7 linked regions of the Kluyveromyces lactis genome follow. The protein of the gene in region 5 purifies or fractionates together with the protein of the main gene of each other region. This does not show direct contact. Links are inferred from orthologs where the notes say so. Each region holds a gene or a part of one and is shown on either strand. Other genes may lie near its edges. The genes, in order: SPB4, YTM1, RRP15, MAK11, RPF1, PUF6 and KLLA0_E14257g.

What was found.
Region 1: the proteins of RPF1 (region 5) and SPB4 purify together in Saccharomyces cerevisiae (affinity purification with mass spectrometry; 3 studies listed by BioGRID). This does not show direct contact. The link is inferred for Kluyveromyces lactis from reciprocal best matches to the Saccharomyces cerevisiae genes RPF1 and SPB4.
Region 2: the proteins of RPF1 (region 5) and YTM1 purify together in Saccharomyces cerevisiae (affinity purification with mass spectrometry; 4 studies listed by BioGRID, with this or other methods). This does not show direct contact. The link is inferred for Kluyveromyces lactis from reciprocal best matches to the Saccharomyces cerevisiae genes RPF1 and YTM1.
Region 3: the proteins of RPF1 (region 5) and RRP15 purify together in Saccharomyces cerevisiae (affinity purification with mass spectrometry; 3 studies listed by BioGRID, with this or other methods). This does not show direct contact. The link is inferred for Kluyveromyces lactis from reciprocal best matches to the Saccharomyces cerevisiae genes RPF1 and RRP15.
Region 4: the proteins of RPF1 (region 5) and MAK11 purify together in Saccharomyces cerevisiae (affinity purification with mass spectrometry; 3 studies listed by BioGRID, with this or other methods). This does not show direct contact. The link is inferred for Kluyveromyces lactis from reciprocal best matches to the Saccharomyces cerevisiae genes RPF1 and MAK11.
Region 6: the proteins of RPF1 (region 5) and PUF6 purify together in Saccharomyces cerevisiae (affinity purification with mass spectrometry; 4 studies listed by BioGRID, with this or other methods). This does not show direct contact. The link is inferred for Kluyveromyces lactis from reciprocal best matches to the Saccharomyces cerevisiae genes RPF1 and PUF6.
Region 7: the proteins of RPF1 (region 5) and KLLA0_E14257g purify together in Saccharomyces cerevisiae (affinity purification with mass spectrometry; 3 studies listed by BioGRID, with this or other methods). This does not show direct contact. The link is inferred for Kluyveromyces lactis from reciprocal best matches to the Saccharomyces cerevisiae genes RPF1 and LOC1.

Annotation. Positions count from the first base shown.
Region 1 is NC_006041.1:1,267,628-1,272,432, forward strand, and holds SPB4 (ATP-dependent RNA helicase SPB4), read left to right. Parts: upstream 1-1,273; coding exon 1,274-3,064; downstream 3,065-4,805. Other genes in the region: pseudouridine synthase DEG1, read right to left, coding at 1-893; ULA1 (Ula1p), read right to left, coding at 3,091-4,527. UniProt on the Saccharomyces cerevisiae protein: ATP-binding RNA helicase involved in the biogenesis of 60S ribosomal subunits. Binds 90S pre-ribosomal particles and dissociates from pre-60S ribosomal particles after processing of 27SB pre-rRNA.
Region 2 is NC_006039.1:646,233-650,668, forward strand, and holds YTM1 (Ytm1p), read right to left. Parts: upstream 2,776-4,436; coding exon 1,441-2,775; downstream 1-1,440. Other genes in the region: KLLA0_C07403g (uncharacterized protein), read left to right, coding at 37-1,323; FSF1 (Fsf1p), read left to right, coding at 3,886-4,436. UniProt on the Saccharomyces cerevisiae protein: Component of the NOP7 complex, which is required for maturation of the 25S and 5.8S ribosomal RNAs and formation of the 60S ribosome.
Region 3 is NC_006038.1:956,399-960,282, forward strand, and holds RRP15 (rRNA-processing protein RRP15), read right to left. Parts: upstream 2,007-3,884; coding exon 1,245-2,006; downstream 1-1,244. Other genes in the region: PPT1 (protein serine/threonine phosphatase), read left to right, coding at 1-1,088; KAR3 (Kar3p), read left to right, coding at 2,587-3,884. UniProt on the Saccharomyces cerevisiae protein: Constituent of pre-60S ribosomal particles. Required for large subunit rRNA maturation, in particular processing of the 27S pre-rRNA at the A3 and B1 sites to yield 5.8S and 25S rRNA.
Region 4 is NC_006041.1:715,895-720,171, reverse strand, and holds MAK11 (Mak11p), read right to left. Parts: upstream 2,697-4,277; coding exon 1,524-2,696; downstream 1-1,523. Other genes in the region: LYS1 (saccharopine dehydrogenase (NAD+, L-lysine-forming)), read left to right, coding at 234-1,352; NIS1 (Nis1p), read left to right, coding at 3,512-4,277.
Region 5 is NC_006042.1:2,011,290-2,015,282, reverse strand, and holds RPF1 (rRNA-binding ribosome biosynthesis protein RPF1), read left to right. Parts: upstream 1-1,667; coding exon 1,668-2,546; downstream 2,547-3,993. Other genes in the region: KLLA0_F21692g (pleiotropic drug resistance family ABC transporter), read left to right, coding at 1-1,131; karyopherin MSN5, read left to right, coding at 3,267-3,993. UniProt on the Saccharomyces cerevisiae protein: Essential protein. Required for biogenesis of the 60S ribosomal subunit.
Region 6 is NC_006039.1:1,047,161-1,052,224, reverse strand, and holds PUF6 (pumilio-family RNA binding domain-containing protein), read right to left. Parts: upstream 3,113-5,064; coding exon 1,124-3,112; downstream 1-1,123. Other genes in the region: CORVET complex subunit VPS3, read right to left, coding at 1-913; myo-inositol transporter ITR1, read right to left, coding at 3,668-5,064. UniProt on the Saccharomyces cerevisiae protein: RNA-binding protein involved in post-transcriptional regulation. Component of the ASH1 mRNP which transports the ASH1 mRNA to the distal tip of the bud, where the ASH1 protein is translated and targeted to the daughter cell nucleus.
Region 7 is NC_006041.1:1,261,187-1,264,986, forward strand, and holds KLLA0_E14257g (Loc1p), read right to left. Parts: upstream 2,057-3,800; coding exon 1,433-2,056; downstream 1-1,432. Other genes in the region: citrate (Si)-synthase CIT3, read right to left, coding at 1-482; histone acetyltransferase catalytic subunit HAT1, read right to left, coding at 3,680-3,800. UniProt on the Saccharomyces cerevisiae protein: Required for efficient assembly and nuclear export of the 60S ribosomal subunit. Involved in asymmetric localization of ASH1 mRNA.

The sequences.
Region 1 (4,805 bases), on a different chromosome or scaffold from region 5:
TGATGCCACAAGAAAGCTGAACCTACCAAGTCAAAGCAGTACATGTCTTCGCTGACGTGCATGATATTTGAACTTTTAATTGTCCTCTTATAATTTGTAATCTGTTTTGAACCATCTAATTTGCAAAAGTTTCTGAAATCATGCTCACCTTCATAGTGTTTGGCTGCCAGTTGCATCCTTTCAAGATCCAAACCCTCTGAGCTGAACAAGTATTTGTAATGTCGACTTTTACAGCTGAATCTGGCATCAAAACCTTTTGGTGGCCGTAGGCAAACTGCAGATACTCTGATATCTTCTGGTAAAATCTGGTTTAAAATATTAACATATTGAATCTCCTTGTCGTCATAGCTGGGATCAAGCTGCTCTTCTGCAGTGAGATTCGAACGAACTCTCAATGAAATTACTTGATTCATGGCACTAACGCCTCTGTCTGTTCTTCCACATCTACTAAACTTATATTCTTGAGGAACCATGGACGGAACAAGTTTGCATTTATTCATGGTCTCTAATATCGTACCCTCGACAGTAGGTAAAGGAGTCGCATCTTTTTGAATTGCCAATCCGTTATAGTTCCATCCCAAATAAGCAAACTTGAAGGCGACAAACCGTGTGTTGTATTTGGAGAAGTCGAATTCCCTTGATTTCCTAGGTTTCTTGACGTTCTTTCTTCTCTCTGCTTCAACAGCAGCGTCCGCAGATCGCTTTTTTACCTCAGCCACGGTATCTGAGTTATTTCCTTTAGCATCACTACCATTTTCACTAGTATTTTCCAGCTGTAGCAATCGCTCAATCAACTGTTCCCTGGTCCAATTCTTATAAGCAGACTGGTCAGTGGACATTGCTGACACAGTGCCTTTACCATCTAGTTTGAAAAGTTTTGATAAAAATCCCATCCCAGTATATGTAGTCTTGAAAGAATTATATCACAAGGCTAATATAACTTCATAGAAGTTTAACAAATAGATCATATCAAACAAATTTGAATACAAATTGTTATGAATGGAACAACCATCGAGAACAACGCCGCATCAATGCCAATCAGCATTAAATGCAAGTTTGTACAGATTTAATGGAATTTTTTTTCTTTTCTATTGGGATGGCAGCTGGAAAGAAAAAAAATAAGTTCAAGCTCATCTCATCTCATCGGGAAAATGTATCCAGATTAAATCAGTGTGAACATATGCATACATTTGAAATCCAGGAGTAAGATTTGACCAACAAGGTATAAACTCACCACTCCAAAGCCTAGTCTAAAGTTTCGAACTGATACAAAATGTCGAAGTCGTTATCGTGGGACGATTTGAAATGCGAGATACAACCATGGATTAGAACGGCTATAGAATCGATGGGGTTTGAGACCATGACGCCAGTTCAAGCCTCAACTATTCCGTTGTTCTCTGGTAACAAGGATGTCGTGGTAGAATCTGTTACAGGATCTGGTAAGACTATAGCGTTCGTGATTCCAATTTTAGAAAGGTTGATAAAAGAAGAAGCCAATTCGGCCAAATTCAAGAAATCACATTTCCATTCGTTAATCATTTCACCAACCAGGGAATTAGCCAGTCAGATTCATGATGTGATAGAAGACTTTCTGAAGTATTATCCAGATAATCTGTACCCAATACGGTCGCAATTACTCGTCGGAACAAGTAGCGCTAGTGTTCGAGACGATATCAATAGTTTTACAGATAACAGACCCCAAATACTAGTTGGTACTCCTGGGAGAGTCCTAGATTTTTTGCAGAAGACTAATGTAAAGACTGCTTCCTGTGGTACCGTCGTGTTAGATGAAGCTGATAAGTTATTGGATTTGAATTTCCAGAAAGATGTAGAAACCATTTTAAAGATGTTGCCGAAGCAAAGAAGAACAGGGTTGTTTTCGGCAACAATCGAAAGTGCGGGTGCGCAAATCTTCAAAACAGGTATGAGAAATCCAGTGAAAGTTGCTGTGAAGTCTAACTCGAGCGCACCTTCATCTCTTTCGATAAACTATATCGTCATTCCACCTAAGGATAAATTACAACTATTGTTGACTCTACTCAACAACTACAGATTCAAGAAATGCATAGTTTACTTCCCGACATGTATCTCGGTCACATATTTTTACGCATTCATAAACCATTTGAAAGAGCTTAATTTGATTCAGGATGATCTAAAACTCTTCTCACTACACGGAAAGCTACAGACGCAATCGAGAATGAAGACGCTTGACAGTTTCACTTCTAACTTGACCGATGCCGTACTATTCACCACAGATGTTGCTGCTAGAGGGATAGACATACCAGATGTTGATCTAGTTATCCAACTTGATCCACCAACAGATGCAGATATATTCATTCACAGATGTGGTAGAACAGGTAGGGCTAATAGGATTGGTAAGGCACTTGTGTTTTTAAATGAAGGTAGAGAAGAAGATTACGTACCATTCCTGGAAGTGAAAAACGTCAAACTAGAAGAAGAATCTGTGGAACTGAAAGGCGTAGAGAATCTAACCAAAATATTCCACGATTGGATTTTACACGATAGAGCAAGATTCGATCACAGCGTAAGAGCATACGTTGCATTTATAAAATACTACTCAAAGCATACTGCATCATCGATCTTCAGATTCCACTCCATGGATTTCATCGGCGTTGCGAACTTTTACGGGTTGTTACGTCTGCCACGTATGCCCGAAATAACCAGGTATGCTGCCGACCAAATTCCGGAGGAAGGTTGGTTGGTATCACCACCAGTGAATTTAGACACATTTGCTTACTTAGATAAACAAAAGGAGAAGGCGAGGTTACAAGAATTACAAAACCTCAAGCAAATAAGCGATAAAAAGAAACTGAAAAGTGAGCTAAAGAAGAAGAACATGGCATGGTCCGATAAGACACTAACTAAAGAAGCCAAAGCTGAAAGAAGAGCAGCTATGGCCATCAAGAGGAAGGCAATTGAAGAGAAACTTCTGCGGGGCGATGAGGAATCAGAAGATGAAGTTGAGCAAGACTGGAAAGACCTTGTAAGACAAAACAAGAAAAAGAAGCATAACTCCATGCAAGGAAGTTTCGATGATTTATAGTCAATTACATATCGTAGATAAATCTATTATAATATAAATGTGCTTGTTTCATTCGAGTCCCCGTCATATAACAATGTGTTTTCAACCGGTACATATTGATGTGTCAATAATTTCACGCATTCTTGTGATACCATTGCACCAAGAATTGATGCCATCGCAGGGCTGACAAACGTTGTATCATGTCTATCGTTTTGTAGCGATAGCAACTTATTGAACTTCGGTTTTTCACTTATAGTTCTAGTTGCCGATGAGAGGCTACCCATTTTAATTGCATCCAAATGTTTTAAGTTCTCGAGCATTTTATCTATGAGTGGTTCAGGTATCAAACTATAATTCTCCTTTGCTAGAATGCGCATGATTTCTGATTTATCCTTGGCAGCTTTACGTTGATATACTGCTTTCTGCGCGTTGAATAGTTTAGTTGAGGATTCCATATCTGGAATGAATGCGGACACAGGTAAATCGCCTCTCAAATCGTAAAATATTCTGATGCATCGTACAAATTGGTATACCCATCGATTAATTGTAGAATTAGGTTCAGCATGAAAACTATTCAAGATGTTGGTCAAATTGTGAGGAAATGGTCCTGATTGATCGTATAACAGGAATGAGGACCTCTCTGCTTCCACAAAGTTCAAATCATTGGTCAAGGGTCCAGAGAGTATAGAATCGTGAAGTTCGATGAACTCTGCCCTCACTGATTTTCTATTGATAGGAATATTCTTTGACTTTAATGATTTTCCCACATTGTACAGTAGAACGGAATAAGGCAAGGAGGATACCTCTTCCTGTGACATATTTTTTACATCGAATGATTCGTGATATTCTGCTAGTTCAGGCCACATACGATTGAGTCTTAAATCGAAAGTGAAATGTCCATGAGAATCAATGACACAATGAGGTTCACTGCCTATAAGACGAACAAATCCCAAGTTATCGTTGGTGGATGCCATTATCAGAGGAACTGCTGAGAGTTTCATGACACGTTGTAACAACGGACCAGCCGTGCACAAACATATGACAATAGAGAAAGAGTTCCATAACTTATGTTGTGAATCAATTGGAACTGCATTCTCGTTCCAAATATGGAACGTAACATCTGGATTCATACTTTCTAACGCATCAAAACCTAAAATATCCGAGTTTGACTTGTTCACAAAATCTGATCCATTAGACGAGCCAAAAACTACAGTAATCTCATGAATACCCATGAGAGCCAAACTCTTGACACATTCTCGCATCAACAATGTCTGATTATCGTCTACAACGCACACATGAGACTGAGAAAGTAAATCCTGGCCTGAATGGCCCCAGATCATCAACTGTCGATCATAACGGTCATCCAAACCACCATTTATCTGATCAGCCATAACCTGTACCAACGCCCTTGGTCCTTGATCTTTAACACTAGTTCTAATGCAAGAGAGCCCGCCTTGATTGGAATCAAATGACGTATTTATCATGAGATGAGCTTAAAAGTTCAAGCGAATCAGTTGGATTACCAAAGTTCAAGCTAGATCAACTGCATACCGTTACCCGGACGAGTACTTCAGCATTACCCTAAAACTTCATAAGAGACTCTAAAGAGCCAACATAAGGCCGGCAATACACTGTTAGTTCGTCATTTCCTGGCCCTGTTTTTGCTACGGCTATATCATAAACCAACACCACCATCACCAGACAAAGCGGAAGCAGGAAGTACTATAATATCATCCACCTACATACGATTCTTTCCAGTCTC
Region 2 (4,436 bases), on a different chromosome or scaffold from region 5:
TTAAAGAGAGTTGCTTTGTGACCATCCTTACGTGTTATGAATTCGGTGTTTAATAGTATTCTGATTATTATTTTATCGTTGGGAATGGCATCTTTTACCAGAAATAAAGCATTTAAGAACTGGCTTGTGTCAAAGTTGGAAAAATCATTAACAACATTACAGTCTTATCCACCGGTCTCTGCTAACTTCAAACTAGTCGATTCGCCTTATTTTACGAAGCAGCAATCACTTAAAGATATTGCTGCATCATTATCACAATTGTGTGAGTACAAGATCAGAGCTCTAAGACAAAACGGGATAGTTTATCAACGAACAAGCAACGTAACTCCCAGTGATATAGAACAGCTTAACCAGATCGGTTATTTCGATAAAATAGTTGCCGTGAACAAATCAATTGATGTAAATTATGACACCTTGAGCAAAATTATAGAATATACTCTAAAGGAAATACTTGTTAACAATGATTTTAACTCAGCAATTGAATCAGTACTGAGAGACGCTGGTTATACATGGGACAAAGAAAATGACACATTGGTTCGCGATTCAATAAATTCCATTCGATTTTCTAAAAAGAGTAACCAAAGCCGTGTGAATGAAGCCATGTGTCACATTGTCAGAGATTGGTGTGATGTTTATGATTTGGAAAGAAAGCCTCTTGTAGATTTCATTGAGGAGTCTTTCGGAAATTGTGACATCGATGAAGACACATTAATTGTTGTACCAGGATCTGGATGTGGAAGGCTAGCTTATGAGGCAGCCAATCGATTTCCAAAAGCAAAGGTTACATCTATTGAATACTCGTCTTTGATGTATTTGTGTAACGAATATGTCCTCGGAACTACGGACAATATCACCGTTGATCCCTTCTATCAAATTTATAGTGGTCAACAAAGTATGGAAGCGCAAACCAGGCACTTTAGGATGGACTTGGATAAGTTCCAAAAGCCAGAGAACTTAACAGTACTTTTCGGTGACTTTTGCTGCTATAAACCAGAGAAAAAATACAAAAATATAATAGTATGTTCTGCATTCTTTATTGACACAGCAGCAAACATGTTTGATTACTTCAATGCTATTGAGATGCTTTCTAACAATTGTACAGGACGTTTACACTGGGTTAATGTTGGACCGTTGAAATACGGAACTAGACCACTAGTACAATTCACATACGATGAGCTAGCAAGACTACGTAAATTACGTGGATGGGAAGATCATTCCAACCAGGTTGATGTTAAAAATTTGAATGGTTACCTAACAGACTACGAATCCTTATTCCAAGGGTTTTATGGTCTAGCCAAATTCCATTCGGAACTAAAAAGATAATTAACATTAGAACCCTGCAAATACTATGTTGTTTCTCAACATTTTTTGTGGTACATTTCTTTTATATTTAAGTGAACTAGTGAGCATAATTCCTGTATATAATATATAAAATTACGATTAGTTACTAAATATATTATCACCTTTATTAATTTGAATTTTTTTGTCTTGACCACCGCTGATGATACCTACGCCTTTAGCCCATTTGACAGCAAACACTTTATCATTGACACCTTTAACAACATTTTTATCTTCTCTGGTGATAGTGTACATTGCAGTGTTAGACCTAACATCCCAAACCTTGACAGTTCCATCGTGAGATGCAGAGCATATCATATATTCATTTTCTGGACAAGTATCCAAAGCGACAACGAAGTTCTTGTGACCTACAAGCTGCTGTTGGGTGATTTTAGATGAAGAATTTACACGAGGATCATGAAGAGTAATGTGTCTGGCACTCGACCCGCATGCTAAGAGATTTAATTTTGGTAGTTGCGCAACAGAAAGAAGTGAGTACGATGTCGTCTTTGTATCGACACATTTTGCCGTTATCAGATCCCATGTTTTTATAGTATGATCTTGTGACACGGAATACCCAACAGTATCATCCGATTTATCGAAAATGACAGCCTCTACTGGAGCACTGTGAGATTCAAAAAGAGCCAAAGGGGCTCTTCTTCTGATAGATCCATCTTTTAGAGTCAACTTTCTCCTCTTCTTGGCTGCAGTAGACACGTTGCCTCCTAAATCCTCCATCGGATCAATGACAGTCATCTCTTTATAATTCGTGGACCACAAGCTCACCGTATTATCGCATGATGCAGATAGAATACGGTCTTTCGAAACATCAATGGACACTACAGGGGCTTTATGACCTTCCAAGATGGCCAATGTCTTACCATCCTCAATTTCTTCTTCATCAATTGATTTCAAATCATCATTCTTCGTTTTCCACAGACGTAGAGTGCGATCATTCCCTGCGGACACCAATCTCGTACTAGAAATGTAATGCACAGCACGAATAGGGCCAGAATGACCACTGTATTGTTTTTCGACTTTCCCTGACAAGTTGTACGTTCTTACGATACCGTCATAGGAACCACTGTAGATGTAATTGCTTCCGACATCCAATGAGCTTACCCAATCTTCGTTATCAAAACTAGACAAATATGAAGGTGGTAGCACTGCTCTAGTATATTCAACATTCAAAAAGGTTTCCGATGATAAACCTTTCTTGATCAAATAGTCCTGCAACGATGTTCTCAAAAGTTCACCATCGATAAGGAAATCAAATGGCATAGATTTAGGTAATTCCAGTAGGTGATTAACAATTTCAGAAAGACCATATCTCTTTAGACTAACTGGAGCATAGATTGGAGCATCATTGACATGTAAAGTCTCATCTTCTTCACGAGTAAAGAAGCGTAGCTTCACCTGAGTCTTATCTGTTGACATATTCCCCTACAGTTTACTTCTCCTTATAACTAAGATATTCTTCCAGTGAATTCTAGTTTGAATTGTCTAATAGATTGTGATCGCACGTTGTTACTGAGGTACGATGGAGCGCGTTAACTCTATTCTTCCTATCTTGTACATTTTCTAAGCGTTGTAAGATGCGATGAGCTTGGAAAATTTTTGGGAAACAAACCACTGCTCGAAAAAGAAATCCGCCAGAAATAAATGCCAGTCACGTGTATATGTTTTAAGGAACCGGGTAGTGGAAATTAGTCAGTACACCAATAGCTAAGTGACAGACTAATGACCGTGTAATACTAAACATTTTCACGAGTAATATATGGTATATACAAGTATAAGTAAATTCAGGAGTGACAAGAGATAGAGAATGTCCCGCTCACGCAGCTACCAATTAAAGCCAATTGATGAAAAATAGTTAAGTACTTTAATCAGTATGAGGTACGCTCGCGGATAGAATTTTCATCTAGCCGTTCTTTTCCCCTCTGTTCATCTACGGTGTATCAGATGGCACAGTGAATAGAAGGCATTAATATGTTTCGTATCACTTTTTTAAGCCAAATAATCAAAAGAACAGTCGACTCGAATTTGATTAACTTAGAGTACTTGCTTTAACCTTGTCTTTTTCTCAAGGTGAAAAGCTTCTCAATTTATACTGGATGTCTGTTCTTTTTTTTTTTCAGGCAGAGAAAATTAGTTGTCCGGGTAAATTATCATATTACCTTTAGACATGTTAAGAATATGATTAGGGCAAAGACAAATATGTTATTGCTAAATTGGAAATCGAAGTGGTTGGAATCATCATCGTTTCACTAGTACAGTTTCTCCGAGAATAAGAGAATTATAATAACCTATTGCTAGATCAATAATTACTGTCTTTTTTCTTATCAGAATTCCAGCAGCTTTGTAACGCCGTACGTATCATTCTGACGCTGCAGAATGAAAAAAAAAAATGCAAGCTCGAGAGAATAATGCATTTATATCTAAAGAGTCATCTCATCTCGAAAGTAATTAAGCAAGAACAAAGTCGTGTTTGTCTCGTAGAAGCTCAGCTCATCCAAAAGACTTCGATACACTTGAGTACAGCTTATCATGGCATCCAGTGTCCCAGGTCCAATTGCCCTACCAGAATCTCGTTATGATCTAAGCACCTATTGGGGACGTGTTCGTCACTGCGCAGAGATTTCTGATCCAACGATGTTGTTAACGAGCAGTGATGATCTTCAACAAGCTCGCAAAATCATCAGTGCATATCGCCATGGAGAGTTGAAAGAAACGACGCCTGAGTTCTGGCATGCAAAGAAACAGCTAGATTCTACTGTTCATCCTGATACTGGTGAAACTGTGTTTCTCCCATTCCGTATGTCCTGTTGTGTGCCCTCAAATCTGATAGTTACTGCTGGTATGTTAACTCCTAATATGGGTACCGCTGGTACCCTGTTCTGGCAATGGGCTAATCAATCATTGAATGTTGCTGTTAATGGGGCCAATGCAAACAAATCTCATCCTATGTCCACCACTCAATTGATTACCAATTATACTATGGCCGTCACTGCATCGTGTGGTGTGGCAGTAGGTTTGAACAAACTAGTTCCAAGGCTGAAACATCTATCAGCAAACACTAAAATGATCTTGGGACGTCT
Region 3 (3,884 bases), on a different chromosome or scaffold from region 5:
TAAATATCAGCTCATTCGATGCAAATGCCGATCTCCTCAAATATGATGGTAAAACCTTGGAATTCGAACAAGTGAAGTCAGATTCTGGGGCCAATGCTGGTGTCAGAGTTAACAATATGAACCAGGAATTCATTTCTTATATGATTAATGAGATTTTCCTAGAAGGTAAAAAGCTTCCAAAGGCTTACGTTGCAGCGATCATTTCTCATGCAGACTATTTGTTCAAGCAAGAAAACAGTGTTGTTGAACTTGATAACAGAGAAAAGCCGGATACAAGAATTTCTGTATGTGGTGACACGCATGGTCAATTTTATGATGTTCTGAACATCTTCAAAAGTTATGGGAAAGTAGGCGGCTCCAATGTATATTTATTCAATGGTGATTTCGTAGACCGTGGATCATGGTCTTGTGAAGTGGCCATTTTATTCTATTCTTTGAAAATCGTGTATCCACAGAACATTTACTTGAACAGAGGTAATCATGAAACCAACAGCATGAATAAAGTGTACGGGTTTGAAGACGAATGCAAATACAAGTACTCCCAGCGCATTTTCGATCTTTTCTCACAAAGCTTCGAATCTCTACCATTAGCCACTGTCATCAATAGTTCATACCTGGTCGTGCATGGTGGTTTGCCAAGTGATACTTCTGCCACTGTAGAAGATATGAAGAAAATTGATAGATTCCACCAACCACCAAGAGAGGGAACATTTATGGAGTTATTATGGGCGGATCCACAGGCTCCGGATGGATTTGGACCATCTCCTCGTGGCTTAAGTAATGCGTTTGGGCCTGACATTACTAGAAAGTTCTTGAAACAGAATAATTTAAAGCGAATCTTCAGGTCTCATGAAGTTAGACAAGGCGGTTACGAATTTGAGCATGAGAATCAATTGGTCACTGTTTTCAGTGCTCCTAACTACTGTGACGCCGGTGGCAACCTCGGTGCAATCATTCATGTTGTTCCAAACACAAAATCTGAAAAGAAATCATCTATCGACAGCGACTTGGTAATAGAAACTTTCTCTGCTTCACCACATCCAGATATTAAACCAATGGCATATTCAAATGGAGGGTTAGGATTTTGATCCCTCATCTGACCTGATCTGATCTTTTTTCGATAAAGTTGTAATTAATAATATTATTAGTCTATTATACAGTCTTTGGGATTACCTATATATGTACATAGTTTTGCGCTTTAATAAATGCAGATGATTCCCTCTATCATATAGAACTTCCTCTTTTCAACTGTCACCAGCAGTTTTCACCAAATCAAAGAACTTCTCCTTGGAAACCTCCGTTATCAACTCTTTTCTCTCTGAACGGTTCTTCACACCACCCAATGAGTCATTGATTTCCTTTTCAGTCTTAACCTGAGTAGAGAGAATTGCATTGAATAACTTCACAACACCTTTCTGGGCAATCTTTCTTAGTTTACGTTCCTTCTCAAGAATTTCTCTAATTTCATCCGAGTTTGCGTCTGCAGCCACAACAGGTATAATATCTTTCTTTCTAGTCTTATTGAGTAGTTGTTTCTTCTCTGTGAGTATAGCTCTCTTAGCCTTTTGCTCTAACTTATCTGCTTCATTTTGCTTTAAAACTTTCTTATTCCTAGCCATAATGGGATCTTTACGGTCGTATGCTTTCAAATGCGATGATAAAATATTGGTTAACGCGCTGGAAAATGTGGATGATCCATCATCGTGTTTGGATTTGGAAGACTTCTTCTTTCTTGGGAAGTCATCGTCATCTGGTTGGTTCACCACATCTTCATCGTCACTGTCTTCATCACTGGCGTCATCACTCGACACTTCATTTAGATCCATTTCATCGTTATCTATTTCGGAACCTGTACTGCCTTCAGAATCCACATCAGAATCTACTTCATCAGCCAATTGTGATACTTCATTCTCTTTGACTTTCGTTTGAGCCCTGATCTTTGCAGACTTGTCATTCAACTTGCTCTTTTTGGTGACAGGTATTGTCACTTTACCCTTGCTACTCATAGTATTTTCAGGCGGCTATACAATACAAAGCTGTCCACTGCACAATCTACCGGCAAGTTAACCTTCTATTGAGATAGTGTGAATTCAATGATGGATCCTAAAGGCCCAGATACAGTCTTGAAAGCGATGAGATGAGTTGTGCTTCACTGAAATTTTTTTTGGCATGTTCACTAACAAAAAGAAATACATTCTATCAACACACCCATACACCACTGCAAATTTGACGTTGGTGGAGCCGCCGTCATAAGAAACTTGAAGCTGAACTCTCTTACTAGCCTGTGGTTCCCCGACTGTTGGGTTTATTGGAGTGTGGTGTATCTGTAATGGTTCCTCTACTTGTTCAAGCTACCCAAAGAAGGTTTGTTGTGTACTGAAGCCGGTTCAGTTTCGAAATATGTCACATATACTAGTAAAGATGTAAACAAATAATAAGATCAACCGAAAACAAAACAATCTTGAAACACCAAAGGAGACATAGCAATTGAAGAACGTATATAAACCAGTACCGCTTTGGAAAAGACGTGTAATAAGGTAGTGGGTTTGACTAAATTAAACTGGTTGGCTGATAATCAAACGGAATATGAATGGACCGCCGTCAACGCCAGAAAGATGTTCATCGAAGGACGGTTCTAATATACCTTCTCCAACCCAGCAGGGTTCAAGTTCACCAAAATACAAACCAAGGCAGTCGATAAGATTGAATCCAGAAGATGTACAGAGTATAAACAGAAGAAGGTCTCTCACGCCCAGTACTGAAAATAGAAGCTCAACTCATATGACATTCTTTTACAAAGAAAACCTGAAAGAACTGAATAGATTGCAAGAAGAGTTGTCCAGAAAAAAGATCAAGTTGAATACCGCACAGGATGAGATGAACTCGTTGAAAAGCAAAGTGGAAACTGTAGAGTTCAAAATGAACAATTTGAAAGAGGAGAAACAAGTGAAAGTACGACAAATCGGGTTAAAGCAGAATGAATTGAATAGCATGGATCAAGATCATGAATTGAAGTTAGAGTTTATGAGAAACGGATTTGATCTAGAAATAAAGAAGATAGAGGGAAAATACCACTGTGAAATGAATGAAACAGAGTCGAAATTCAAATTTGAAGTGCAGCAGATTGAATTTGAAAAGATTCAAAAGTTTAAACAAGAAAAGGAACATTTATTGAAGGACATACATAACTTAAACGATGAGGTAAATAATAATGACAATGTCATTAACCAATTAAAGGAAGAACTTGATAAGAAATACTCAAATCTTAAAGAGAAGTGGATGGTAGAGTTTCAGACGGAATGGAAGAATATCACAGAAGCTAATCAGTCCATGATTAAGGATATCAACAAGTTAAGTCAAGATATAGAAAATGACATGACTAATGAATTGGATCAATCTAAAGACAAACGTAACATTTTAGAAAAGGAGCTAGCAAAATTGGAAGAGAAGCTTAATGAGAAGAATGTATTCAAGGAATCTATTACTGTGCAAATAGACACTGTCGAAGAAGAAATAGAGCAAACTATCAGTCAACGGAAAGAACTCAATGAGTATATCACTAATTCCAAAAACGAACTTTTACAAATCAATGAAATACTGATAAAAGAGGAGACAATGCGTCGTAAGCTTCATAATGAACTACAGGAGCTGCGAGGAAATATCAGAGTATACTGTAGAATAAGACCGCCTTTAGAAAACGAAGTGCAGGATATATCGCACATTCATGTATCTAACTTTGATAATAGAAATGGATCGCAAGCAATAGAGATAAGCAATGAAGATAGGAACAGCAGATTCTTATTTGACAAAGTATTCAGCTCTAATGCATCAAATCGAGACGTTTTCGAAGAAGTTGGCCAGTTGATTCAGAGTTCACTGGATGG
Region 4 (4,277 bases), on a different chromosome or scaffold from region 5:
TGACTTATATGAGTCAAAAAATTGATTGTATCGAACTTATATAAAGACAACAGGAATAAATCTCGAGTTCACTTTTCATTTACCCTTGTTAATCTTTGCATGATCTTGAACAGTGTAACTATATAAATCAAGAAAAACGGAAACAATACTGCTTGACTTCATCTCATCGATATTTTACTTTGATATAGTACTGAGAACATCCGAGAAACAAAGAGACAATTACAATTTTAACAATGAGTGTTACACTACATTTAAGAGCAGAAACTAAGCCCTTAGAGGCTCGTACAGCCTTGACACCAACTACTACCAAGAAGTTGTTGGATAAAGGGTTCAAGATTTTCGTTGAAGAGAGTTCCCAATCTGCCTTTGATATCGAAGAATATAAGAAGGTCGGTGCCACTATTGTTCCAGAAGGATCTTGGAAGACCGCTCCACGCGATCGTATTATCATTGGCTTGAAAGAAATGCCAGAGACTGATACTTTCCCGTTAGTTCACGAACACATCCAGTTTGCTCATTGTTACAAGAACCAAGCTGGTTGGGAAGATGTTTTGAGCCGTTTCAAGAGAGGTAATGGTGTTTTGTACGACCTTGAATTCTTGGAAAATGACCAAGGTAGAAGAGTAGCTGCATTTGGGTTCTATGCTGGTTTTGCCGGCGCAGCAGTCGGTATCAGAGACTGGGCTTTCAAGCAAACCCACTCAGATTCTGAGAATTTGGGAGCTATTGAACCATACGAAAACGAAGAAGCTATGATCAAGGATGTTCGCAGAGACTACCAATTAGCTTTGAAGAGAGGTGCCAGAAAGCCTAAGGTTTTGATTATTGGTGCCTTGGGTAGATGTGGTTCTGGTGCTGCTGATTTACTACGTAAGTGTGGATTGCCAGAAGAAAATATCATCAAATGGGATATGAAGGAGACTGCTCGTGGTGGTCCCTTCCAAGAAATCGCCGATGCCGATGTTTTCATCAACTGTATATACTTATCAAAGCCTATTCCTCCTTTCATCAACAATGAACTATTGAATAAGCCAACCAGAAGATTGAGAACTGTTGTTGACGTTTCTGCTGATACCACTAATCCTCATAACCCTGTTCCAATTTACACCATCAACACTACGTTTGATGCACCAACAGTACAAGTTCCAACCACTGTTGGTCCAAAATTGTCCGTGTGTTCTATTGATCATTTGCCTTCATTGTTACCAAAGGAAGCCTCAGAATCTTTCTCTCGTGATCTATTACCATCCTTGGAGCAGTTACCTCAAAGAGCTACTGCTTCTGTGTGGGTCAAGGCTAGAAACCTATATGAAAAGTTCGCTGCTAAGGTTGGTAGAACATCTAAGCTATAGAAGCTGAACCTTTTTTTTTCTATTTCGTATCCTCATCTTCTGGGAAGGTGGTTGTTAGTAATCCTAAAGGGTCCTTTTATGATGTAGACCGCGATTGAGACTTTGTATATTATTCGCCTTAGTTATATATATATATATATATATATATATACAAAACAATACTGAAGCATTCTATTCTAATTGAACTTCGACCTTCCTTTTCTTGTTTCCGCCCTTCTTTTTACTCTTCTTGGCCTTTTTCCCAAGCATGATCTTTTTGAGTTCCTCAGGATCAGCTTCTACGTCACTTGGTTCTCCCACCTCAACTTCTTCTGGTGCTCTCTTCTTAACGGTATCATATTTTTCAATACTTTCATCGCATACAGCTACACAATTTAATCTTTCACCACAATCGTATACCGCAACTTGATCCCTAGTCTTCATGTCCCAAACGACAATTCTTCCATCAGATCCGATTGTAACTAAATAATGACCAAACTTGTTATGGTAAAATTGAAAGTCCTTTACACGGTTACTGTGACCCAATAGTGAAAATTCAGCTTCCAACTTAGGTGATTCTTCCTCTTCATCTGGCACTTCTTCGTAAAGTTTTGATGCTTTCCAGAATTGAACGGCACCACTGTTCAATCCAACAACAATATACTCTTCGCCATCAATGATTTCACGCTCTAGATGCATCAATGTATTCCTGCTAAAATCGATTTCTCTATGCACCTTTGCTGTTTCGGTCTTGAAAATTAGCAATTTGTTCAACAAACCAACAGCAATATACGACCCATTCTCCCCGCACCATCTAACGAACTGTCCGTTTTGATTATATTTCCTTAGTTTCAATACACCTGCCTTCTTAACAGTCATGAGGTTCCATAATCTGATCGAATGATCTTCACTTACACTGACTGCAACTCTGTTCGAAGGATGAATATCGAAATCGTTGATCCTGGCAGTATGGCCCTTCAAGGTTCCGAAATTTTCCCAGTCTTTCACTCTCCATACTATTATTTTATGATCCTCAGATGCAGATAGTAGCCATTTATTGAGTTGGATATCCTGGCCATCGGCATCTTTACCTCTTGAGAATCTCAAATTCGTAATGGAACCTTGATGTCCTAACAACGTCCCCAATTCTTTACGTTTTTGTAAATCGTAGATTCTTATATTTTCATCGTTCGATCCTGATACTAGGTATCTCTTTGATATGTCTAGACATTTCACACTCAATGAGTGCGCTTGAAAATGAAATATTGGCGTGAATAGCGGTTGGGTTAACGATAAGTTCAAAGATAAACATAATAGATTGTGTTCGTAAGAACCCACAATGATTCTAAACTGATTATCCGGCATTTGAATAGAAGACCTTTTCAACCTCTCTTTCTACAGTGAAAACAAAAGGAGCACTTATCGGTGTTGAAGAAATTATATATGTGAAAGCTCATTGAACTCATCTCATCTCATCTCATCTCATCTCATCTCATCGCTTCTTTGACTATGTTCAATCTTAAATTTTCCAACTTTCCAGATCCAGATGGGAAGAAAAAAGAAACTGTTCAATTTCCGGGTAAACTTTTTAAAAGGTTTTCTTTCCTTCAAATGTGCTGGGTTCAATCTATTAAAAATTCCCAATGTTCAAAGGGTTTGTTTGTATTTTTTTTCGACAACCAGCATTTTTTGTTAAGCTTAGTTTCTTTAGCATGAGATTTCGGACAGAAAGTGCGGAAAATAAAGTGACGCAGCATTTTTTAAGTGGTGTAGGCTCTCAATGTTCGAGTTGTTTGCTTAAACGGTCCGGAAACAATGTTGTGTGTATTGATGGATAATCCGTTTTTATTTCCTAGGATGAATGTTCAAGCATTGTGCTAATTATTTTTGGTGACAAACTTGATCTGATCTTTAAAGACTTTGAATCGGGAAAATACATGTTCCTCCATTAATCAATAAGAGATCTAGATACGGATTTGAAATCTTTAATTAGAACTTAGAACTCTACTATTCCATATTTAGACGTTTCATTAGCCATTTCCGAGAGTGGCCATTTAGAGCATAGCACTTTCTGATTCTCATCAGTCCTAATCCAAAGAAATATTCTCTATTCACAACTTGAAAAGGGGAAGTTACTTGAGCCTGTTTCAAGAAAGGAATAAGAGCTGAATTTTCAAGCCATGTCAAGTTACTCTAGTGAAAATAATGATACTCGGCGTGTTATCGATTTGAGTTCTAATAACATCGGGAGTCGATTACATGAGTCTCTTGTCGATTCAAACAGAGCTATATATACAAGTGGGATGCAAGAACGTTCTTTGAATGAACAAAATATTCACTTGGTCAATACGTTGGAAGAAAGAAGTCCCAATGATAAATTACTGCTGAGTCCATACGAAGAAGAACTTTACAGACGTAGTCTTAGACTGAGTCCCGTTACTTCAATCGCAGCACCCATACCCACAGTTACATTGCTTGGGGAGGATGCACCACCAGAAGCCGGAAAGACTGCTTTACCGTATATGACCGATTTTGACAAGTTCCAGGTGGAACAGGAAAAGAACAATAAGAATAGGCGACAAGGTTTGGAACAAAATAACGACTCGCTGTTGAGTTTATTCACCAAATGGCCTATCTACTCTTCTAAGAAAATAAAACAAAAAATGAATAGGCACAATTCGCTTAAAAGAACGCATTCTTCAGTTAGGCGCAAGGATTTCTCTGTTCAGTCTGAGTATGCGAAATATAACAAAGATAAGAAGTTCATATTCCATAAGGGCTTTTCTCAAAGACACAATTCTGTTAATTCACTGCGAAGAAATTACACCAAAAAGACTCACTTCAGAAAAAGGTCTAGGTTTCAAAATGAACAGGAATTGATGTCGTACATGAGATACATCAACGCCTCTCAAATGGATATAACTGAGGTGATAACAGCCGATAACA
Region 5 (3,993 bases):
GATTGGATGGAATCTGAGCTACGTAAGAAACCGTTAGATACTTCTTCTGAACAAAGCGAATTTGGTACTTCTCTATTCTATCAGTACAAGGTTGTTACATTACGTCTTTTCGAACAATATTATAGAACTCCATCGTACATTTGGTCGAAGCTTTTCTTGACCATCTTCTCGCAGTTGTTTATTGGTTTCACATTTTTCAAGGCTAACTTATCCATTCAAGGTTTGCAGAATCAATTATTCGCTATCTTCACATTCACAGTTATCTTTAATCCAGCTTGTCAACAATACTTGCCTTTGTTCGTCTCTCAAAGAGACTTGTACGAAGCTAGGGAACGTCCAAGTAGAACATTTTCTTGGCTGGCATTTATCTTCTCTCAAATCACCGTTGAAATTCCACTTAACATATGTTTTGGTACCATTGCCTTCTTCGTTTTCTACTATCCTATTGGTTTCTACAACAATGCGTCATATGCCGGTCAATTAAACGAAAGAGGTGTGTTATTCTGGTTATTCTCTGTTTCCTTCTACGTATTTATCAGTTCAATGGGTCAATTGTGTATTGCAGGTCTTCAGTATGCTGAGGCTGCAGGTAATATGGCATCATTAATGTTCACTATGTCCTTGAATTTCTGTGGTGTGTTTGGTGGTTCTGGTGTTTTGCCAGGGTTCTGGATTTTCATGTACCGTATTTCACCGCTAACTTACTTTATTGATGGTGTACTCTCAACTGGTCTTGCAAACAACCCTGTAACATGCGCAAACTATGAATACGTCAGCTTTAATCCAAGGAGTGGAGAAACCTGTGGTGAGTACATGGCGGACTATATTGACAAGAATGGTGGTTATCTACTAGATTCAAATGCTACGGAAGATTGTAATTTCTGTAAGATTTCTGAAACAAACGCATTTTTGACAAGTTTCCAATCTTCGTACCATAGAAGATGGAGAAATTTCGGTATTTTCATAGTCTTCATTGTGTTCAACTGGTGCGGTTGTGTTTTCCTATACTGGTTGGCTAGAGTTCCAAAGAAGAAGAACAGAGTGGCTGATGAGAGAGACCCAGATCATGGCAAGAAAATTGAAAATGTTCAAAAGGAAAAGGTTGAACCTCAATCCAATGAACAAGTTTAAGGATTTTTGCTTTTTGGCCAATTTTTACGTCGTTTACTTCTGTTTTTTTTTAACTATTAAACTTCATTTCTTATCGTGGGCTTGCGTTCTGCTTTAATATTTTGTTTATTCTGTATATATAGACCTGAATTGATATCTGGTTTCCCCATATATTACTATGGAAACCAAAAAAAGAAACTTCGATTGCATATAAAGTCCCAATATAACTCGATTGCAAGTACGAAAATTATTCAATTTTAGCATGGATCTCTGTTGTGGATGGTCGTTGAGGTAATCAAGATCCTTTGATGGGATATTCGTCAGCTCACCCTTCCTACAATGATTGCAGCGACGAATGTGAACTCTTTTCTTTTTATCGAAAATTAGCTTTCCAAAATTTTGAAAGTTTTTGTATTGATCAGATGAGATGAGATGAGATGAGATGAGGCTAACAAGATAGAAGTTGAATATAGTGGAACATAGCTAGTTATGTAGCTTATTCTAGGTCAAATAGCGAGGGTGCATAACAGCAAATCGGACGATACTATAATTTCAAAATGGCAGTGGATGAACTCAGAATAAAAAACAAGCAGAAGAGGCAAAAACTCTTTGCTGAGTTGAAGGATCAGCACAATAAGGAGCGTCATTCTATGAGGAGGACCAGAGCCAAGGAAGAACGTGAGAATCCGGAATTGAAGGAAAAAAGACTTGCTGAAAATGTTCCTGACACAATTGATAACCTCAGAGTTTACGATGAAACGATGGGTCAAGAAGTCGAAGGTGAAATGGATGATTTTATGAAATTTTTCAACGGTACCGAACCACCAAAGATTCTATTAACAACTAATGTAAACGCCAAAAAGAAGGCATATGAGTTCGCTAATATCCTGATCGAAGTTTTCCCTAATGTGACTTTCGTGAAGAGGAAATTTGGATACAAGCTGAAGGAAATCTCTGAATTCTGTAATAACAGGAACTATACAGATATCGTGATAATAAATGAAGATAAGAAGAAAGTAACGGGGCTTACATTTATTCATCTTCCAGAGGGGCCAACCTTTTATTTCAAAATAAGTTCTTTCGTCGAAGTCGAAAAGATCGTGGGCCATGGTAGACCAACTAGCCATATTCCAGAGTTAATCTTGAACAATTTCAACACCAGACTTGGTAAAACTGTGGGTAAACTATTCCAATCTATTTTCCCTAAGAACCCTGATTTCGAAGGTAGACAAGTGATAACGCTGCATAATCAAAGAGATTACATCTTCTTCCGCAGACACCGTTACGTTTTCAGGAACGAAGAGAAAGTAGGTCTTCAAGAACTTGGGCCCCAATTTACTATGAAACTCAAAAGACTACAAAGAGGTATCAAAGAGGAAACAGAATGGGAACACAAACCTTCAATGGACAAAGAAAAGAAGAAGTTCAATCTATGATATATTTGCATATATTTATATACAAATTCAAAGCCACCTGTGTACTAGTCCTGCACTTGGAGATTTATCAAAGATTTGACGGTATTATCATCACTACTCACGAGGCTGACGAAAAGTGGTGGCAAAATGAGAAATTCCTTGGCTTTAAAGAAAACAGGGCATTGAAACCTTTAAAGGATTTGGAATGTTTTGGGCTTAAATGAGTACAAGCCCACTGTTGAAAAGATTAATTGAAACAAACGGTTACTCTGTTGATCTGAAGAGGTGGTACACTAATTGCTCTTTAGGATTGTCATATTCTTGGTCATTATATTTGATCGATTGCAATCTAAGAAAAAGTATTTTTTCAGGCTGTTTGTTATTGTTGTTTTATTGGAAAGGAATTATTAACACGATCGATCACTGGGAAAGTAAACACTGACAGTAAAAACACTAAGCCACTTTACTCTTTTTTTTGTACACTGTTGCTATTACCTCTCTTTTGTTTTCAGCATCTTAACGTTGATTCTGGACTCATTTTGAAAACAACAGGAAATATCTGATCCAATTCTGTCTTGTAACTAAAGCGAATTGGGAGAATAAACACACTTGATATCATAGCTGTCTCAATTTACCACATCGGTTTCTGATATTTTGAATCACTTTTGATTCAAGAATTACGAGTTCTCTTAAATTATATTAGTTTATAAGCAAGAAAAGGGACTGGGCACAAGTAGAGCAATGGAAAATTCAGGCGCTTCTCAAGTGGTCGCAGCTTTGGAAGTAATTTACGATCCAAAATCAGATAATGCGAAGAGATTGGATGCACAGAAGTTTTTGGACGAAGTGAAAGAGAGAGAAGAATCGCCGTTTTGGGGATATGAAATAGCTCTCAATAACCCACAGAATTCAATATTAAAACATTTTGGATTAGGGTTATTGGTAAACGCCTTAAAGAAAAATTGGTCGGGTTATGATGAAGAAAAACGGATGGCATTAAGAAAGTGGATCATTGAACTAAACTACAGGGTGCAACCGAATGATCCAAGATATATTAGAGAGAAGCTAGCTTTCCTTTGGGTCGAAATAGCGAAAAGGATCTGGGGTGAGGCTTTGAAAGTGGAAGAACCTACTGAGGAACAGCTAGCCGAATCGTGGGTCGATATGGATAGATGCCTAACAGAACTATGGCAGATGAATGAGGCGTCTAGAGAGCTAGTTCTCATAATCTTTAGAACGCTTTTCGAAGACACGTTCTTACTTGAAGATGTTGCCGTGTTGAAGAGATTGCCCATTATTCAACCGCTCTGCATAATGATTGTCTGCCCAATGGATGTCTTCAGTGTGAAATACAAGTACTCTGGTAAATGGGAGATGTTCAAATCCAATCCAGAAGGTTGGTTTGCTCTTTTCACCAGTGAATTAAAAGCAGCATTAGAAGTGGAAAATGCCCAGTACATCGTTAGGT
Region 6 (5,064 bases), on a different chromosome or scaffold from region 5:
TTGTAATATGAAACGGGGTTTGATTTCTAACATTTTGTATAACTACTGGGTCGTTGTTTTCTTTTATTAAATGAATTTGAAGGCATTTAGAACCATGTAATTCTGATAGCACATACAGATTATCAACTATAACTGTGAGTGGATAATTTTCTATAACCACGGTACCGTGAGTGATTTCTCCATCATCGTTTAATATAAGTCCCATACAGTTTTGGTCATTTGATATTCCACATGTGACGATATATTCACTTTTTCCAAAATTTGTCACAATTGGTGAGAGTTCCTCATCATCTGTCTCAGACACTTTGAATAAAGGAGTTACCAGCTCATTTTCAAGATGGATTATCGAGTAAGAGTTATCAACAGCTGCCATAAGGAGTTTTGCGTCTTTTGAAGGAATGGCCTTTCTAATTCTCTTGATGTTATACTTCTGTTCGACTTTTATCTCTTTGCTTGTTATGCTTACTCGCTTTACCAAGTTCTTCGTGTATAAGAAACACGAGTAACATTGTGTTTTCTCACAGAACTCCAAAAGTGAAAGTTCTGTTATATTCATAATACTTGGTATATTTGAAGCAGGTGCAAATTCAGGCAGGAGAAACATTTTGAGTCTCCCTTCGGACAACACTAAGGCTCTATCAATTTTCGGCAGTAGCGTTATGCCATCAATTCCTGTTGGTCTGTCTTCATTGAAGTTGACTTCCGAGATCAGTGTGAAATTTCCAACATCTAATTCATAATAGTGTAGTAACGCTCCTGAAGTCGAGCCCAGGTAGATGTGCTGACCATAATATTCGATACATGAGTACTCATATTCATGAGGCACATTCTCGATTAATGGTGAAACAGCATATAATCCATCGGTTACTTCAAAGGCAGTTGAAATGGGTTTCTCTTTAGTATCGTCATTCATAAGCCATCAATGCCACTGCTGTAATTAGTGAATTGAGGAATAAATGTTCTTAGCTGTATTATCTCTGGTTCGCAGATGATAGTCTCATTTAAGGAAGTGTGAATCTTAATAGTAGACTAGAACGTCCTTCGTCCACAATGATGAGAAGCTATATCATCTTTAATATACATATTTTAGAGCCAAACTATATAACGACTTGACTATACATACTCAATGCTTCATTAGCTTTAGAAGTAGTTGAGCACCCTTGTTTGAATCGTTCGTCTCTATTTTCTTGATCACTTTTTTCAAATCATGATCGAATTGTTCCCCTTCTTCAGTCCCATGTAAGGCTTCATACAATGCCACAATGGTAAAAGAACTGTTGGGTTTGTTGATCCAATCGAGTAGGTTGCTGGAATCAATGATGTCTTCATAAAATTTTTCAGCAAATGGAATACCAAGTCCCTGAACTTTTTCTAGAGGTTCTAGTTTTCTTGCTTTCACGTTGTATCTACCATTTTGAATGAGAGACTTTAGCAACCTTGCCGAAAATGGTTTGTTAATAGGGTGGTCTTCTTCTGAAATGTCACCTTTGAAATAAATGGCGACGGTGTCCACAAGCTCGGCAAACAACTTTTGATCAGACTCTGAAAGTTGTTCATAGACATCATCGTTAACGAGTAAATCTGCGACAAATTGAGAACCGATGTTTTCATCTAGAATGGTTTTGTAGTGTTCGTTTACGCCAGATAAAATCATTGGTGCGAACCTTTTTAATAATTCAAGTCTTCTTTGGTCAAATGGCTTCTTGGAAGTAGTTTCCGACATCTTAATGTATCTTTGTAGTTCATTCTTCATATTTGGACCGAAGTATTTACCATCTAATCCTAAAAGTAGGAATAAGAGCGGCCTCCTACCAAATTTATCAACAATCAATTCTGGAAGATGTTCCTTAATTGGTGGGGAAAATGCCTTGGAGACGAGAACAGTATCATCGACTGTCATTAATAAAGTTATGAAAACAACGGCACCGTGTTCATTTTGAATTAACTTGATTGCATGTTCTTTCAAGGTCTTTATCAACCCCTTTCTTTCTTTGGCATTTGCTTTAGCGATTAAAGTAGATGCAACTTCTGCACCTTCTGGGGTATGCACTAATTCCGCAAAGTTCTCTTCTAAAAGTTCGATGAACTCAGATGTTTCTTTATCGTTGGCGATTTTGACGTATTCCCTCATTGCTGCGTGTAAAATCTGGAAACCTGCCGAACCTTTTTCAACAGAAGCAGTGATGGTACCAATCAAGTTTCTAGCGATAATATTTCTCTTTTCTACGCTGGAAGCACAAACTTCTTCGAGCGTAAGTTCCTTATGAGATTCTCTGAATACGGCGTATTCTGAACCCCAAAATTCTCTGATCATTTGATTTCTTTGTTCTTGAGAGGCATAAAGAACAAACAAATCTTCGACCACATAGGCACCTTCACGGTGTCTCATTAGTTTTCTCAAATTACCATGTAGTTGATCGATTATGATTTGTCTAGATTTTCGGGAACCATAATGTAACAATTTAACCAACAAATATTTACCATATGATGATGTGGCCAAAACATAAATTTTATCTTTCAATGCCAACGTGATCTGTTCTCTGCGCTCTTTGGAAGAATATTTGACTAATGTCTGGACAATTCTGGATGCATCATGCTTCAATACTAAATCTTCAATACAATCATTCGAGAGTTCCCAGATCTCATTACATAGCTTTTCACGGACAGGCTTTGGAATTGGAGGGTTCTTGACACGTAATCTTTCCCATAAAGACTTGATCTGCTGGACTGTTTCACCAGATTTACGCTGAAGTTTTCTCTCCTTTAATGTTTTTCTTTGTTCGGCATGCTGGCTGACACCATTACTTTCTTTTTTGTCTGCATCATTTCCGGTTCCAGCATCTTCTTCATCTTCAGCATCTTCTTGATCCTCATCAGATTCATCCAGTTGATCAGATTCGTTGTCTAGCTCGTCTGAATCTGAATTTGAGCTAGCATCATCTAATTCATCATCTAGCTCATCTTCTGAAGATAAACCGTGGAGGACATCATCAGAATCTTCATCGCCAGAATCAACACTAATGTTTTTAGCTCTTTTTACAATTTTACCAGAATCCTTCGACTCCTTAGATTCCAATTGACGCTTGTTCAACTTTTTCGACGTGGCTGCCATATCTGTAGTGCTGTATTGTCCTACGAGAGAGAATAAGAATGTATATGTTGTTATTTAATGCTACCCATAGTGCAGTTACTACTGTATAAGCTCATCTCATCTCATCGCTTCTTTTTCAAGTTCAGAAAATTTTCATAATATGCTAAAAAGAAAGAACTCAAATAAACATTCGCCAGAATCTCTCTTTTTTTGATGGGGGGAATATACAGTTGGTACAGGATTTGGCTGATTAAACCGAATATGGCAGTTTATTACATGCTTCAAAGATTTAGCTCTATTTCTCGAAAGCTCTCTCTTCCGAGTTAGTTAATTATGAAATGAGTAAATGTCACCCTTTCAAACTAACGAGATTTTTATTGTAAATCACAAACAAGTTGAGTTTTACACATGACAATGATAATATTACAGTAGTAATTGTGGACAACTTTAGCAGCTATAGTTGTTAATTCTAAAAGATTTTATGGTTATCTATATACTCAACTTCATATGAAGTTCATTGAAAAACCAAGACAGTAGCTTCGGGTATGAGAATAAGAGGGAATGACTGCATTTACATTAACTTTCAAGTAGTTCATCGGAGGGTTTATCCTTTTGATAAGCTTCCATGTCCTTTTCTCTAAATCTCCTTTGCATTTCGCTATTTTGTTGCTTTCTCTTCTTGGCTAGTTGTTTGGAAGCTTTGATGTTGAATCCATCACTTAAAATAGTTTGTACTTCCTCCAATTCTAGACCAGATAGTTCTGGATAACAGAGATAACAGAAGACGGTAGATACTGCAGCTAGTGCAGCAAATAATGAAAATGTACCAGTCGGTGTTATGTTTTGTAACATTGTTAGGAAGGTAGATGCAATAATTAGGGAACCAGCCCAGTTAGTAGCTGTACAATAAGAAGTACCTACACCTCTAACGGATGTTGCAAATAATTCAGATTGCTGCCATGGTACAGTACCGATACCTAGAGCATAGAATGCTGCATATACCATGATGAATACGATAACGACTATACCCCAAGAACTGAATCCACCATTGGAAACTTCCGATTCACCAGCGCCAGTGAATTTTATATCTAGGAAATGGAAGGCGATAGCACACATAACCAAGGAAACCATCATACCAGGCAAGCCAATCAAAAGGATTGCTCTACGACCGACCTTATCAATCGCAAAGAAAGCGACTAAAGTGAATACGAAGTTAGTACCGGCAACGATGATAGACACTGCAGTAGAATTTTCGAAACCAACAGTTTGAAAAATAGTACCAGAGAAATACATTAAAGAATTCCAACCACAGAATTGTTGAATACCTTGTAAAGCACAACCGATCACCAATGCCCTGAAATTGCATGGGACAGTATGTAATTCTTTGACAGTGTTGAAGAACTTGTGTACAGGGGTCTTACCTGGGATAGCCTCATTCAAATCTGATAGTTCACGGATTTTTTGATCGATAAGTTCCTGGGGAGCGTTAATGTAACTCTTTTGTAAAACTTCTGCAGCCTTCTTATAGTTACCTTTTATCACGTAGAAACGCGGAGTGTCTGGCAAGAAGCTGAAGCATGTAAATTGCACCACAGTTGGAATCAAAGAAAGTCCGACTAAAATTCTCCAACCGTTATGAACTTTATTCAACCCAGCACCACATGCATAAGCGATCAATTGACCACCTGTTAGCCAAAGTGAGTTTATCACCGTTAGTCTACCTCTGATATGTTTTGGTGCGATTTCAGAAATGAATAATGGCGCTAGTAACGACCCAATACCGACACCGAACCCCATAATTAATCTACCTACTGCCATTTGCCAAAATGAATGTGCACTAACCTGCAACGCAGCACCAATGACAAAAAGAATATTAGAGAACATTAGACAAGGTTTTCTACCAAAAATGTCGGCAGAAATCCCTGCAAACACTGCTGAGATTAAGGCACCCAAAGATGTTGCAGCTGTAATTA
Region 7 (3,800 bases), on a different chromosome or scaffold from region 5:
GCCAATTGGGTCATAGGATGCATGTCACGAGGCAAGCTCGTTAATAGCTTCTCCGTGTGAGGTGGTAACTTGGCACCTCTTTCAGCCAATTCTTGAGTCAATTTTCTTACCTGTTCCTCTGAAGGTACCTCCCCAGTCATCAATAACCATAACATGGATTCTGGTAAGAATTCACCTTTCCCATTATCTTCTGGCGCGCCAGGTAACAACTTTTGACATTCAGCAATAGTTTTCCCATGGAACCTTATTCCTTCATTGGGGTCCAATGTGGTACTTTCCCAATACATAGATTGATTTCCTCTCATACCATTGATAACGCTGCCAATAGTAATGTCACCAACTTTCACATCCGAAAAGTTCTTCTTGATATGTAGTAATTCTTCTCTTCTTTTTGGTATAACGTCAGCAATTGCAGCTTTCAAATTCAATAGATGTCTACTAGAATGAAACAATCTAGTTTGCGTAAAGTTTTTGAGCATCATGCCGAAAATAATTGATAATATAAATAATGTGCCTTGAGGATTGTTCCTGAGTCAGCCTTGTTATTATTTCGAAATATTCAAATATACATAAAATAAGGGAAGACGTCAGTGCAAAACTGAAGTCCATATTTCAAAATTCGATAAGATCTATAATTACCATCATTTATATACTTTATAAATCGTGATAATGAAGTGGTTTACGCGGTAATCAGTTGCTAATTAATCGATCTATTGATCTATTCGGCACCGAAAGAGGTGTAACTCTCATACGTTATATTATGACCTTTAAAATGTTATTGAATGTGGAGAAGGTTAAAATGATGACAGTTTTGTAAATTAAATACAACTAGTTGACAAAAAAAAAAAGAATAAACCGACGATCATTGCATTTGGAACGGGTTAAATTGACGACCCTTTTGTCTCCTCCTTGTTAATCACATGCCAAACTCTGAAGGGATGAGTTTTTGACCGTTGCTTTACCAGAATACTAGATGAACTCAGAATAGTTAAGTCACGTAAAAAAAAATGGTGCTTGTGTTTACCAGCTGAAAGCATCTTGTCAATAACGGTATCTGGCAGAGCAGCGTCAGTTTTCTTTTTTTTTTTTTTTATCATCTGGCTTCAGAATCGTAAGAATGTCCCACTTTTCAATCTGCATTGTATGGAAGTCCCCAACAACGTTGAAATGTCTCTGTTCTCTCATCATCAACAATGACTAGAAAATAGAAGACCGACATGGCAGCCGGATACACACATGCGCCCTCATATCCGAATCTTTGAACAGCTGCTGACACCAAAATTGTGTTGAGGCTGAAACGCTGATTAACTCCAGTTGTTACAGTAACGGTAATCTAATGTTTTTAATATGTTTAGTCACATGATCGATGCTAAAAGGTTATCGATTCCTCCATTTACATACACACATATGCATATATAAATTGATGTATTAACTATGCAAAGCTGACAGATTTCTTCTTCTTGATAGGTTCAGACTGAGCTGCTAATGTCTCTTGTTTCAGTTCTTGCCTTTTGGTTTTCCTACGAATAGTTCTGGCAACGGATGCCTTCTTCTTGATTTCATCTTTCTTACCCTCTAGTTGTTCCTTCTTTTCGGTTTCTTTTCTTTCCATTTCTTGTCTCTTTAGATCACGAATTTCTTCGAGTCTCCTTGTCTTCTCTAATTTGCTCTCTGTTATTTCATCATTTTTATCACCTATCGTTTTGATTAATCTGTTTAACGCTATTAAATCATGATCACCGATGAACTTCTTCCCCTTTTTACCCTTTTTGATTTTTACACCAGGTACAATCGCTCTATTAAGTGTTGGAATATTTAATTCTTTCTCGGTATAGCGTCTTTCCTTCTTCTTCTGGCTACCATATAGACGTGCTTTGAAATTATCCTTCTTCACCTGTAACTTGGTTGGTTTCTTGGTATCAGATTTTTCAGTCATTTTAGGCACGTTTGCCATTTGATTTTTGGCAATAGAGTCCTCGAATACTTCTGATCTTACTTCCCTCGTTCCATTTTGTTTCTTGGATCTCTTAGCCGTTTTTGATTGTTTGGGAGCCATCTTTCAAGTTCGATGGATTGTTATGCGTCAAGGATTTTTCTTCTATAAGTCTGATTATTGTAAATTCAGACTTGTCTCGCGGTTTAACTAGTAGACAGCGTACCCAGAGGTATAAATTCAAGTCCAGTTGTGCTTTTGTAGTAGTTGTGATAGTGTTCTACCAAAGCGATGAGATGAGCTCAATTCATCATCGAAAAGTTTTATTTTTATTTCTTTTCGCTTGGTAACACTTTATTTCTTGAATTCCTGCATGTCAATGTGAAAAAATAGAATAAACAATTAAAATAAAATAGAATAAATTAAATTAGATAAAAAAATATAAAAAAATATAATAATGATAGAAAATGAATAAATGATCAGAAACAATAAGATGATACAGAGTACACAACTCACGACTAGTATAAGGTAATATAGGTACACTGTGCTGGAGTTTAAATGTCAGATATCCGAATGATATTAGTTTTTCTTTCAATTGTCTTTTTAAGTATAGTAATAATAATGATAATCCATATAGTTATGTTGTATATTAAACAAGACAGTAGTGAACAAAGTGATGTATATATATCACGTGCAAATAAAATATAATTTCAAATTAGTTTTAATTCTTCTTTTATTTTTCTAGAGAAAATATCTATTAATTTTCTCATAATAGAAATAAATAAATTTTTACTTTTTTTATAATTATCTATTTAATTTAAATAAAACTTAATTCAATTTATTTTAAAATATTGTATAGTTTTACTATTCCGAAAAATAAATATATTTTCTGTTTCAATAGGAAATTAATAATAAATATTAAAAAATTAAGCCGGGAAGAAGGTAGTGGAGATGTTATTGTATGGAGTTGTGAGAGAACTTCTAAGGTGTCATTTTTTTTTCAGAAGCAGTAAATATACTACTGGAGCCGCTATGAACTAGGATCTATACGATAGCATATTGTTATTGATCAACAAATCCCGAAAATATATAAATAGAGTTTTCTTCATCGAATTCTTCCATTCGAATTTGACGATATATCTATCATTGTTCTACATTTATATGTATGTTAGACGGCATATACCAAGAAGAATATCGAAGAAGAACCAAAGAACATCATAAATAGTTTACATAACACATGCGAAGCTCTTAATTAAATCCCCAGGTTATCGTCCAGAAAGTACAGAAAAACCCGATCAGGAGATCGAAATGTCCATCATCAACTTTTACATCACTATCCCTCTAGACCAAGTCCCTAATGTCACTACTTCACAGTATCCTGTTCAATAAGAGACAGTACCATATTCTCAAAACTTGCTATTTTTCAATTTAATCGCGGTTAATACATTACCAGTAGTACAGATTTGGTTTATCAATATCAGGCCTAACTTATTCTTCTTATAATGAAGAAAGCTCTTAAAGTAAAATAGCAGTAGACAATTCTTGCCGCTAAGGCGCTAGTAATCCACGACATCGTGGTCGAAACTCAAGATAATCCAAAAAGGACTAACTATCTTTGATTTCTATTTATCTAAATGAGAAAAGAATTCTCGCATGTTAATTTGACAATTCATGAAGTTGAAGTAATAAGTCTTAGTTACCAGCTTGTTTGACAAGTGAACCATCCAAAGAAGACATTACGACGTTTTATGCTTTGAGTCTTTTGTCAGATTCACCTTGCGAGTCAGAAAATGTCCTTTTTCTGATAGCTACTTTAGAGAGAATACGATTGTAATCTTCGGTTAGGGATTGGAAAGCCGTTTGTAAT